2 linked regions of the Caenorhabditis elegans genome follow. The protein of the gene in region 1 interacts with the protein of each later gene in a pairwise test. Each region holds a gene or a part of one and is shown in the gene's direction. Other genes may lie near its edges.

The links. The genes of interacting proteins can lie anywhere in the genome.
Region 2: the proteins of tag-276 (region 1) and pcf-11 interact in a two-hybrid assay, tested with the Caenorhabditis elegans proteins (one large-scale study listed by BioGRID).

What each region holds. Positions count from the first base shown.
Region 1 is NC_003280.10:12,247,607-12,250,931, reverse strand, and holds tag-276 (uncharacterized protein), read left to right. Parts: upstream 1-1,789; 5' UTR 1,790-1,853; coding exon 1,854-2,249; intron 2,250-2,529; coding exon 2,530-2,610; 3' UTR 2,611-2,807; downstream 2,808-3,325.
Region 2 is NC_003281.10:5,023,562-5,030,166, forward strand, and holds pcf-11 (Polyadenylation and cleavage factor homolog 11), read left to right. Parts: upstream 1-1,782; 5' UTR 1,783-1,846; coding exon 1,847-2,137; intron 2,138-2,821; coding exon 2,822-2,920; intron 2,921-3,001; coding exon 3,002-3,223; coding exon of another isoform or gene 3,224-3,469; intron 3,470-3,489; coding exon 3,490-3,551; intron 3,552-3,793; coding exon 3,794-4,021; intron 4,022-4,066; coding exon 4,067-4,644; intron 4,645-4,692; coding exon 4,693-5,012; intron 5,013-5,061; coding exon 5,062-5,634; intron 5,635-5,683; coding exon 5,684-5,782; 3' UTR 5,783-6,086; downstream 6,087-6,605. Other genes in the region: R144.13 (Coenzyme Q-binding protein COQ10 START domain-containing protein), read left to right, coding at 1-32, 93-155, 207-413.

The sequences.
Region 1 (3,325 bases):
AAAAACGGACAATTCCCAAAGAACCAAATTCGAAAAGCCTTTAGAAAAATCAGAAAATGTATAAAATTTCTGAAAGTTCCAAAAAACTTCTTTAAAATGCTGAAACAATTTCGGAAGATTCCAAAAAAAATACCTGAAAACCCATAATTGCAGAAATTTTGAAAAAGTACAAAAAAAAGTAAAATGTAATATTAGGTTGGTCAAAAAGTCTTTGCAAAATTCGTATGTTTCTTCATTTCTCAGCGTTAACTCGTTATTTTCCTATTCTGTTTTTTTATTTGCATAGTACGTAATGTGCATGTTTAATACATTTGAAAAAACTTTTGGGTGTTGTTCAAAATGACCGAGAATTTGCTCGCCGAAGGTCACACCCTCCGAGGGGTTTTCTGTATGGGTTCCCCCAAGGCTGCAATTGCAACGAAGCTCGTGGTAACATGTGTGCAGTGTTAGGCAATAATTCTGTCACCTATAATACCATAAAGTTTTGGTTCGAAAAGTTCACGAAAAAGAACTACGATCTCGATGATGAACCAAGATCCGGTCGGTCTCGTTTGGCTATCAATAAGGATAATTCGAGAGCCCTGGAAGATGATCCAAGAGCAACGAACCGTGAACTTTCTGCGACTCTCAAGCATCTCCAAAGAACCATCATCAACCATCTCCGCGAAACCGGAAGGGTAGAAAAGTTCGGTCATCTCGTTCCTCACAATTTGTCCGATTCTCAGAAAAATTGTTTTGTGACCTCTCTTTTTCGCTGCTCACTAGGAAACGAACAACAGACTGGGTATAGGATATCACTACTGGAGATGAGAAATGGGTATTGCATGTTAACTATACCAGAAAGAAACAGTGGGTCCCGGTCGAGGAAACCGTGAAACCTGACCTCAAAGGGGAACTTCAAGAGAAAAAGTGCTTCTCTAAATTTGGTGGGACAGTAAGGGTGTAATTTTCCGAGGACTTTTTCCAGACTCCGTTACAATCAACGCTGGCCTATACTCTATTCAATTGGAAAAGATGGTCCGTGCTCATCGATTACATCACCCTAGAGAATCAAAATTTAGGCTGCTCTATGACAACGCAAGACCGCATACAACTTTGAGGACCCGCCAGAAGCTCCAGACACTCGGAATCCAAGTTTTGTCTCACCCACCGCATTCGCCGGACTTGACTCCTACTGACTACCATTTGTTCCGCTCTCTCCAGAATCACCTTACCGGGCAGAAGTTTCATGATTGAAAGATCGTCGAAACGTGGTGGGACGACTTCTTTGCCTCCTAATCTCAGGAGTTCTGTGCGGAGGGTATTGCTCAACCTTCGTTGGGTTGGCAAGAAGTCATATACACTAATGGTGAATATATTACCCATTGAATCTCGTTCGCTTTGAATAAATACTCTCTCCAAAAAAAATTCAAAAAGTTGCAAAGACATTTTGACCAACCTAATAATTTATGCAAATTCCAAATTTTCTAAATACTCCTTCTTTAAACATTCCGTTAGAATTAAAGTATCCAATTAAAATTTCTGAAAATTCCAATATTTTTAAAAACTAAAATCTGAAATCCCCTAAATTTTGACAACTTTTTTCCATGTTCCTCAGGGAGAACCCTCCCTTATTTCTCAAACAAAAATGTACGTATGTACCAAATTTATATATTCACAATCGTAAACCAATCAATAACCATTGTTTCCTTCTGCTTTCCCATTGCCACGTTGCATAGCCCATTCCCCCCCGCCCATATATCGATTTTTTGTTGTTGCCAAATTGCAGCGTCCTACAGGGTTAGGTCTAGGTTAGTGTCATTCTTAACCACATATCTCAGTTCTTCTCTCACCTTTTATTTAACTCATTCTAAATGCCATCTCACACCAAGCCGGTCTCCAATGCTGCTCTCCCAAGAGTCCCAGCTCCACTGAGCCCTGCTCAACAAGTCAGAAAATACACTGACTACTTGCTCAAAGAGCACAACCGGTACTATGCACTGGAGTGTCTTCTCTTCCTCGACTGCCCGATTCGAGTATTCCGGGAATGCCGTACCGAGCAAATTGTCAAGAGCCAGTATGATGGACGGTATGAGTACCAGTACCCAGTCAACTTGTTGCTCCAGAAGCTTCGTCGTCTCGCTGCTCAGGAGTTGGAGCAGGATGTTGTGGAGCAAAAGATGCGGGAGGCTTCGAAGAACAAGGTGCTCTTCGCCAATGTGCTCAATATTTTTGCGGATTTGCAAAAGGAAGCGGAAAATTTCTCCAAGGTTAGTTTTTGTTGTTATTTTAAAATTTTGCTGAGAACTTTTTAATTTTCTGAAAACGAACTCAATTTTTAAAATAATAAAATAATTTTCGATTATTTTTGTACTTAAAATACCTACATATTAAGTTAAATTGCAATTTAAAAAAATTTCAAAATAAAAAATCTACACCGATTTTGCGCCGTAAATTTGGCCTGAAAAATAAAAATAAAATTTCGCACCAAATTAAATTTAAAAAAAAATTTCTAAACCTGACCAAACCACCTAAACTAATACTTTCCAGACTACAAAACAATCATCCACGTCACCATCAAGCTCCTCTTCATCCGAAGAATCGTCGGCTTCTTCCTCCCCAGTCGTATAATTTTACCAAACTTATTATATTCGTTGCCAATTTTTCATAATCTGTCATTATTTTCTTGTGTTTTCAACTAATTTTCCCTCATTTTTATTATCCAGTTTTTCAAAAAAACTAATCCCGATTGCAATGTTTCTTGTCAATTAAAACTGTACATCACAGATAAAACTTCAATTCAGTTTACTTATGTTTGCAAAAATATTCAGGCTTTAGGTTTTTAAGCTTTCAGGCTTGGACCGTTGAGCCCAGACTTGGATGCTAACATTTGAATTTAGATTTTCAGAATTATGGCTTTTGCTTAGGCGTAGGCTTGGGCTTAGGCATAAGCTTGGCGTCAGCTCTGAAAAAACATAGTCTGAAAATGCTCTCATTATCTACACACTCCAATTTTTCAGTGTTAAATAAATAAAAATTTGACTCCTAACTTTTTACATTTTTATAGTTTTATTAAAGAACTTGTTATTGTGAATCGAATGCGTTATGAATTATTGCAAAATCTTTGTTTGGCTTTATAGAGCAGTCTGAAAATGCTCTCATTATCCTAGGCCTAGGCTTAGGCTTAGGCTTAGTCTTAGACTTGGGCATAGGCTTAGGCTTAGGCTTAGGTGTAGTCTTAGGTGTAGGCTTAGGCTTAGGGTTAGGCTTAGGCTTAGGCTTAGTTTTCCAAGTTTTTGTATTAGGCTGTTTTTAAATTAAACTGTTTGAAAACATGTTCATTAGC
Region 2 (6,605 bases), on another chromosome or scaffold:
GTGTGATTCACATTAAGCCATCTGTTGTTCATGTTAGTTTATTCAAAGATTTCTAAGAAGGTTTCGGTTTTCGATATTCTATGTGTTTACAGTCTGTCGTCATAGAAAATGATAATCTCTTCCGCACACTTGACACTACGTTCCGGTTTGGAAAAGTTCGTTCCATCAATTTTTGTTAAACCTCTATTAACGTTCACCTTTTTCAGGGAAAACCATCTGTTGAACGCTCATGTACTCTTCACTATGACTTAGTTTTTGAATTCGAGTCAGCTTTTCACTCAAGAATCGCTCATCTTTTCTTCGATAAAGTCGTAAAAACTATGGTTTCAGCATTTTTGCACCGCGCTGAAAAGCTTTATGGACCACCGGAATTCCCACACTCACCACCGCAGGTTTTACAGTACAAATCTTGATTTTTTTAAACTTAGTGACACTGTAATCAGAGTATTTATTTGTAAATTTTAAATTTTTTTTTCTTGCTTCTTAAATAAAAATGTAGATTCAAACTTTTATGTTCTAATTGAATAAAAACTAGCCGTTTCAGCATCGGTATCCTTATTTTTCACTATTTTTCTCAATATTTTTCTGCGGTAGCGAAACACCGATGTCCCGTTTTCTTCGCAAAATTTCGAATCATTGGGCTTCGCTTCTTCGCTCTTGTCCCGTTCTTCTTTCGTTTGCATCTTTTTTTCAACTCTCACTTTCAAATTAATATGGATTAAAACTCGTTTCGATTAAAATCTTGAAGCGAGTTCATCCGAATTTGTACAAATAATTGTATTGAACATTTAAAGACACATTCCTTATCTAAAAGCGACGTACCATGCTTTTTGAAGTCAATTAATTTTTCGGGAATTGCTCTTTAATATAATTTCTCATACTTAAAAAAATTCCTCACTATCAGAACAAGTAAAAACCTCCTGGCTCCCGTCAGCCGTTTCACAGCAAGAATCAATTGCTGGCAGCTACGAAAATGTTCTCTGCGCCTCTTCACACTCACCCGGTCGCTGCGAGACCCGCGCAAAATCGATTGACACGCCTCTACCACGCGCTTTTGTCTCTCTTGCCTGTTTTCTGTCTCTTTCGTTCATTTCTCCCAGTTTTCTTCAAATATAACGCCGTTTCTTTGCAATTTTCTCTATATGTGCTTTTGCTAACTGATTTTGTCATCTTATTTTAATTAAAATTACTTGCTAATACACATAATTCTTGTACATGTTCCCCTCCATCATCTCCTTTTACCAATTTCCTTCATTCCATCCACAATCTCTCTCTCTCTCTGTTTTTACCTCCTCGTTTCTTGTTGCGTTTATTGATCCATTTTTTCACGTCACTAATCAATATTTTCCAGATACGCCGGACTCGACTCGAAAGACAGCGCGCAGACTGTTTGGTGCGAGAAGAGGCGGACCTCAGACGGTGTGCAGTCACCCTTTAAAAAATATACATTCCCTTCCCATTCCCCTATCCCCCTTCCTTTTATGATTTTGTCCTCATTTTCTCTAAAAAATAATAAAAATATATGGAAAGTCACTTTGTCAGCTAGACTTTGGGTTTCTTGACTACTCTTCAGTTGCGATTAGCATAATATTCGCGCTTGTTGTATCAAGCTGTTGGCTCGCCTGCGCGTTTGGAGCATCACAACTTCCTGTATGTTCGTGCGGAAGTTTTGAAGCTGCCCGCCGTTATTTAGTTTTTGCTCGGGACGGTGCTATAATCTCGTTGACTTCTCCCGTTGTATTTTTCACGCAGTTTTTATTTTTCAAAAATAATTAATTTCAGCACGTGAAAACGAATATCCGGGTTATTTTATTCACCTTCGTAAATATCACAATCAATATTCATGATGGAATCGGTCGAATCGGCAGCACGAGACTATCGTGAGACGTTGGCCGAATTGAGAAACAACAACAAGACTCAAATAAATCTGCTAACTATTCTGGCTGACGACTTCAAAAAAGCAGCTCCACAAATTGTTGAAGTTATTGAGCGGCATCTGACAACGTGTTCTCCTTCACAAAAACTGTTAGTGATGTACGTGTGTGATTCGATTTTGAAGAACGTTAAGAAGCCGAACGATTATGATGCACTGTTTGCAAGGAAAATCGTAAGCATGTTCGAGCATGCTTTCCGACAGGTAATATATCAAAATTAAAAAACATCGGTCTGTCTAATCTAAGCCTTCCATGAGGGTGAGTTTTTACCCTCCCTACCCTACCCTCTGCCCTACCCTACCCTACCCTATGCCCTGGTTTTACCCTGTATTAATTCATTTTTAACGTTTTCTTAGAAATTTCATTTCTAAAAACGAAAATTTTACAAATAAAGCGAATAATGCTTAAAATTCGTATTATTACGTGAAGGCATAGGGTAATGTGTCCATAAAATACCCTGTTCGGGTAAAGGGTAAAAAAGGGTATCAACGTGCCCTACCTTTTTTTTACCCTCACGGAAGGCTTAGTCTAATCTAGCAAAGCACGCAAAAATGCAATCCAACAACGTTTCGCCAGCTTTCATTGCGGTAGTTAACAGATTTTTCGCGCGCCTTTTTGGATCTAGAAGATAAGGTCAAAACTTTCTCAGCTACAGACCGGGTCTTGTCGCGATTGAGTACCGTAGTTTTCCACAAAATGTCCTGAGAAGTTAAAACGTTTTGTTTCCAATTTCGGTGTAAAACTTTTTCCTGCTACTTCGCACGACATTTTAGCGCGTATAGCTGAGAAATTTAAATGAAGTTTCGCAAAAAATATCTACAAAGTATGTCACGTTAATTTCGCTTGCAATTATTTTTCGAAATCATTTTGAATTCTAAACATTTCAGGGAGATGAAAGAATCCGTACATCGTTGTACAGGATACGAGTCACATGGGCCAGCACCACATTGTTCATGCCTTCAAAGTTATATGAGCTTGACATGAAGGTAAACTTTCAATTTCAGATCCTGAAATCGAGCTACGATTTCGCAATATCATTGCTAATGATATTAATATTTGTATTTCAGATCAATAAGCTTGACCCAAATTGGCCAATTTCAAATCCACAGACTGGTCGTGCACTTCGTGATGATCCACAAGTTATGGCTCCTTCTCAGAGTAGACCAGCAGGCAATGCCACCAGTCCAGCGGCTTCCACGTCAACGAATCGTGTATTTGTGAACCCAAAGTTCATAGGTTCATCCACACCTGGTGCAGCATCAGCATCAAAGACGGTCGTGGAAAAAACGGTAAAATATTCTTGTGAACTTTTATTTTCACACGTTTTTCAATGTATCACTTTCTATGTTTTGTCTTTATTTTTCCACATATCATCTGATCGTTTATTTATTATGAAAAAAAAAGAAATGCTTTATCTATCATTTTTCACCGGAATCATGGAAGTTGAGAAAATAAGCGACAGAATTGGCAAAAAACACAATATTCTTCGTCACTGTTCAAATAAATTATTTCCAATTGGGTGGGATATTTGTTGAAACCGCTTATGTTATTACAGAAATCACCTGGCACAGTAAACAAGGAAAAGCAAGTGAAGAAAGAACCAAAACAGGATCCACTGTAAGTTTAATGTCTTAGGCGTGTCTTGGTGTTACAATTTGGTATGTAATGAGAAGAATCGATGTTTTAATTTTGAAAAAAAGTAATTCAGAAACAAAATGAATGAAAAAAAAAATAAAATAAATCTGTGTGAAAGTGTAACATTGAATAAAATTTCACAGTAATTTTGTCATGATCAGCTAGTCCGAAATAACACGCTTAAAAGATTAGTTTTATTTCAGTTAACAAAACATTTTTTCCAGTGACAAACTACTTCCATCAAGCTCTGCATCCAAGACATCATCATCACCGGCTGGATTGAAGCGAAAATCAGCACCATCCGAGCATCCAAATGCTCCGATTCGCAAGAAGCCACAACAACCACCAAAGCCACAGACAGCCATTGATGAGGATCTCAGATCTATAAGCTTGACGAAGAAGCCGCCAGTTCCATCAGCACAAGATCAAGATTTCCGACCAAAGACTTTGAAGTGAGTATTTAGTCTAAACTGTTTTAAAAATCGAAAATTTTGCAGGCCAACATCAGTGATAGGATCTCACGCATTTGCCCCTGTAGCTGCTCCGATCCGTCCTATGATACCTGTGCCACCACCTGTTTCAGTGGCTCCATTTGTGCCTGCTCCGCCACTTTCGTCTGCTCCTCCATTCCAACATCCTCAACAACATCATCCACAACTTCCACCTCCACCAGTTCATCAAGGAATGGGAAGAGGATATCATCATAATTCGCCTCCACAAGATCCGGCACCAATCGTTCCAGTTCAAGCTCCACCTCCACAGCAACACCTTCCAGCTCCAGAGAACGTTTACTCGTCAGAACAACCGAAACTCGATGTTCCAGCCAACAACCGTATCTTTGTCGATGGAAAAGCTTATGAAGTGATGTTTGTCGATGATACTGCAGTTATCGAGCGTGGTGGTGCTCCACATCGTATTTATTTCGCTGGACCGCCAAGAAACCTCGTAATTGATGGAATCCCACACTTGCTTCAGTTTGACACTCCAACTCAAATTGACATATTAGGATCAAAGCATATGGTCAAGTTCGGAGCACCATCCCGCGAACTTTACATTGGTGGTCACCCATTCAAAGGTAAATACACATATTTTCACAGTTTTTAATTCATATTCGAACTTTCAGGTCAATTTGGAGGACCACCGATCATTGCAACGATCAATGGACGTCGTCATGAGATCCGATTGACTGGAAGTGCTCCAGAAGTTCGCATTGAGCCTGAGCCAGCATATCATCTTACTCATTTCTTGCACAAAATGCGCGAGGAGAAGAAGATTGAAATTGCATCGGAGAAGCCGGAGAAGAAGGAGGATTGGCTCTCATATCTGAAAAATTTGAGAACTCGTAATATATTGCCAGCTCCGGCCAGATCGCCATCTTCGCCACGCAACCAGACTCCACCACCAGCTAATCTTCCAATTCCGGGAATGAATAATGCTGGACAGGTAATTAACTATCAGGATTACAGTCTCTTAAATAATTTATTGTTTTCAGAGAGGAGGTTATCATAACCGTCATCAACCACAACAGAACGCTAGATGGGGTGGAGCGAATAAACAGCAGAATATACCACCACCACCATCTGATCCATCTCCAATTGGAAGTGGTGTTGAGAAGCGAAGTGCTCCACCGGCGGCCATCACAGATTTCAATATTCGTCTCTTGCAAATTCGTTACGACTCGGTCGTTGACGCGTTGATTACCAAGAGAGCCGACGCTTGCAAGTTTTGTGGAATGAGATTAGATGATTCTCAAGGAAAGTCAAAAGAATGGCAAGATCATATGGATTGGCATGTGAAGCAAAATTTGGCACGCCACGGGTCGAACAATTCGGCAGCTGTACCATATCGTCAGTGGTATCCATCGACATCCACTTGGCTTACACCACGTGCATCTGATGAAACGAATGAGCAAGAAGCTGATAAACCCGAGGAACCACTTCCAGGAGTAGCATCTTCCGGTGTTAAAACCAAAGAATGTTCAGTTTGTGGTGAGAAGTTTGACGAGTATTATGATGATGACGAGGAAACGTGGCGATTAAGGGACACAGTTAATGTTCACGGAAAGGTGAAAATTTGTTATTCAAAACTCGTGAATTTATCAAGATTCATTACAGATTGTGCATTCTGCGTGTGCTTCCGACGCAGCTCGATCACTCGACAACTCATCATTCTTCAACGACAGTGACATCAAAAAAGAGGAGCCGTTCGACTGAACATAATTGTTTTTTTATTGAGCCTTTTTGATGGGCATTGTCTAGTCATTGAAAATATTAACAGAAATTATAAAATTCACCAAAAAATTCATTAAAGCATTTTTCCATATGCTTTAAAATTTTCAAGCATACCAAAGTTTTCCTGTTTTCTTGTTTCGTTATGGGTTTTTTAGTTTTCATTTAGCTTACACCCCCCCCCCCCCCCCCCCCCCCCCAACGTCCCAGACAATTTCAACAAATCTTGGTTGTGATTCCGTTTCAAAACCTCACCTATACATTTTCTATAAATAAAGCAAATTATTTTTAAAAATACCTTTTATATATATTTTTCCTTTTCCACCCTCCAATTTATCACATTGAAAATAAAAATCATAAAACCCCCGTTTTTCAGAGTCGACGACTTCAATAATTTTTATTTGCTTTTTTAAAATTATTTTTTCGTTTTGTTTTTTTGGTCGAATAAATCTATTAAAATGGGAAATATAATTGTTTTTGTTCACATAACGAGAATTTCAGAGATGTAGGTTCTGGTCAATTCCGTAAATCACTGACACTCCAAAGTTATGAAATGCCGCAAAGACTACTGTAGGCAGTATCAATTGAATCAATTGTTAGAAACCTGTTTCGAGAAGTTTTGGAATATTCGTATTTCAACATTTTATTGGCTCTAAATTGTTCAAAAATCTCAAATTTTGGAAAGTTTGGTAAGTTGCCAAAATGACTAGATACTTTTAAATATCTAACACGTTTTGGAGTTTGCTACGATATTCGGGTTTTTTGGATAATTATATTCATAAGTAAAAAATCGGATAAATGCTGTCAA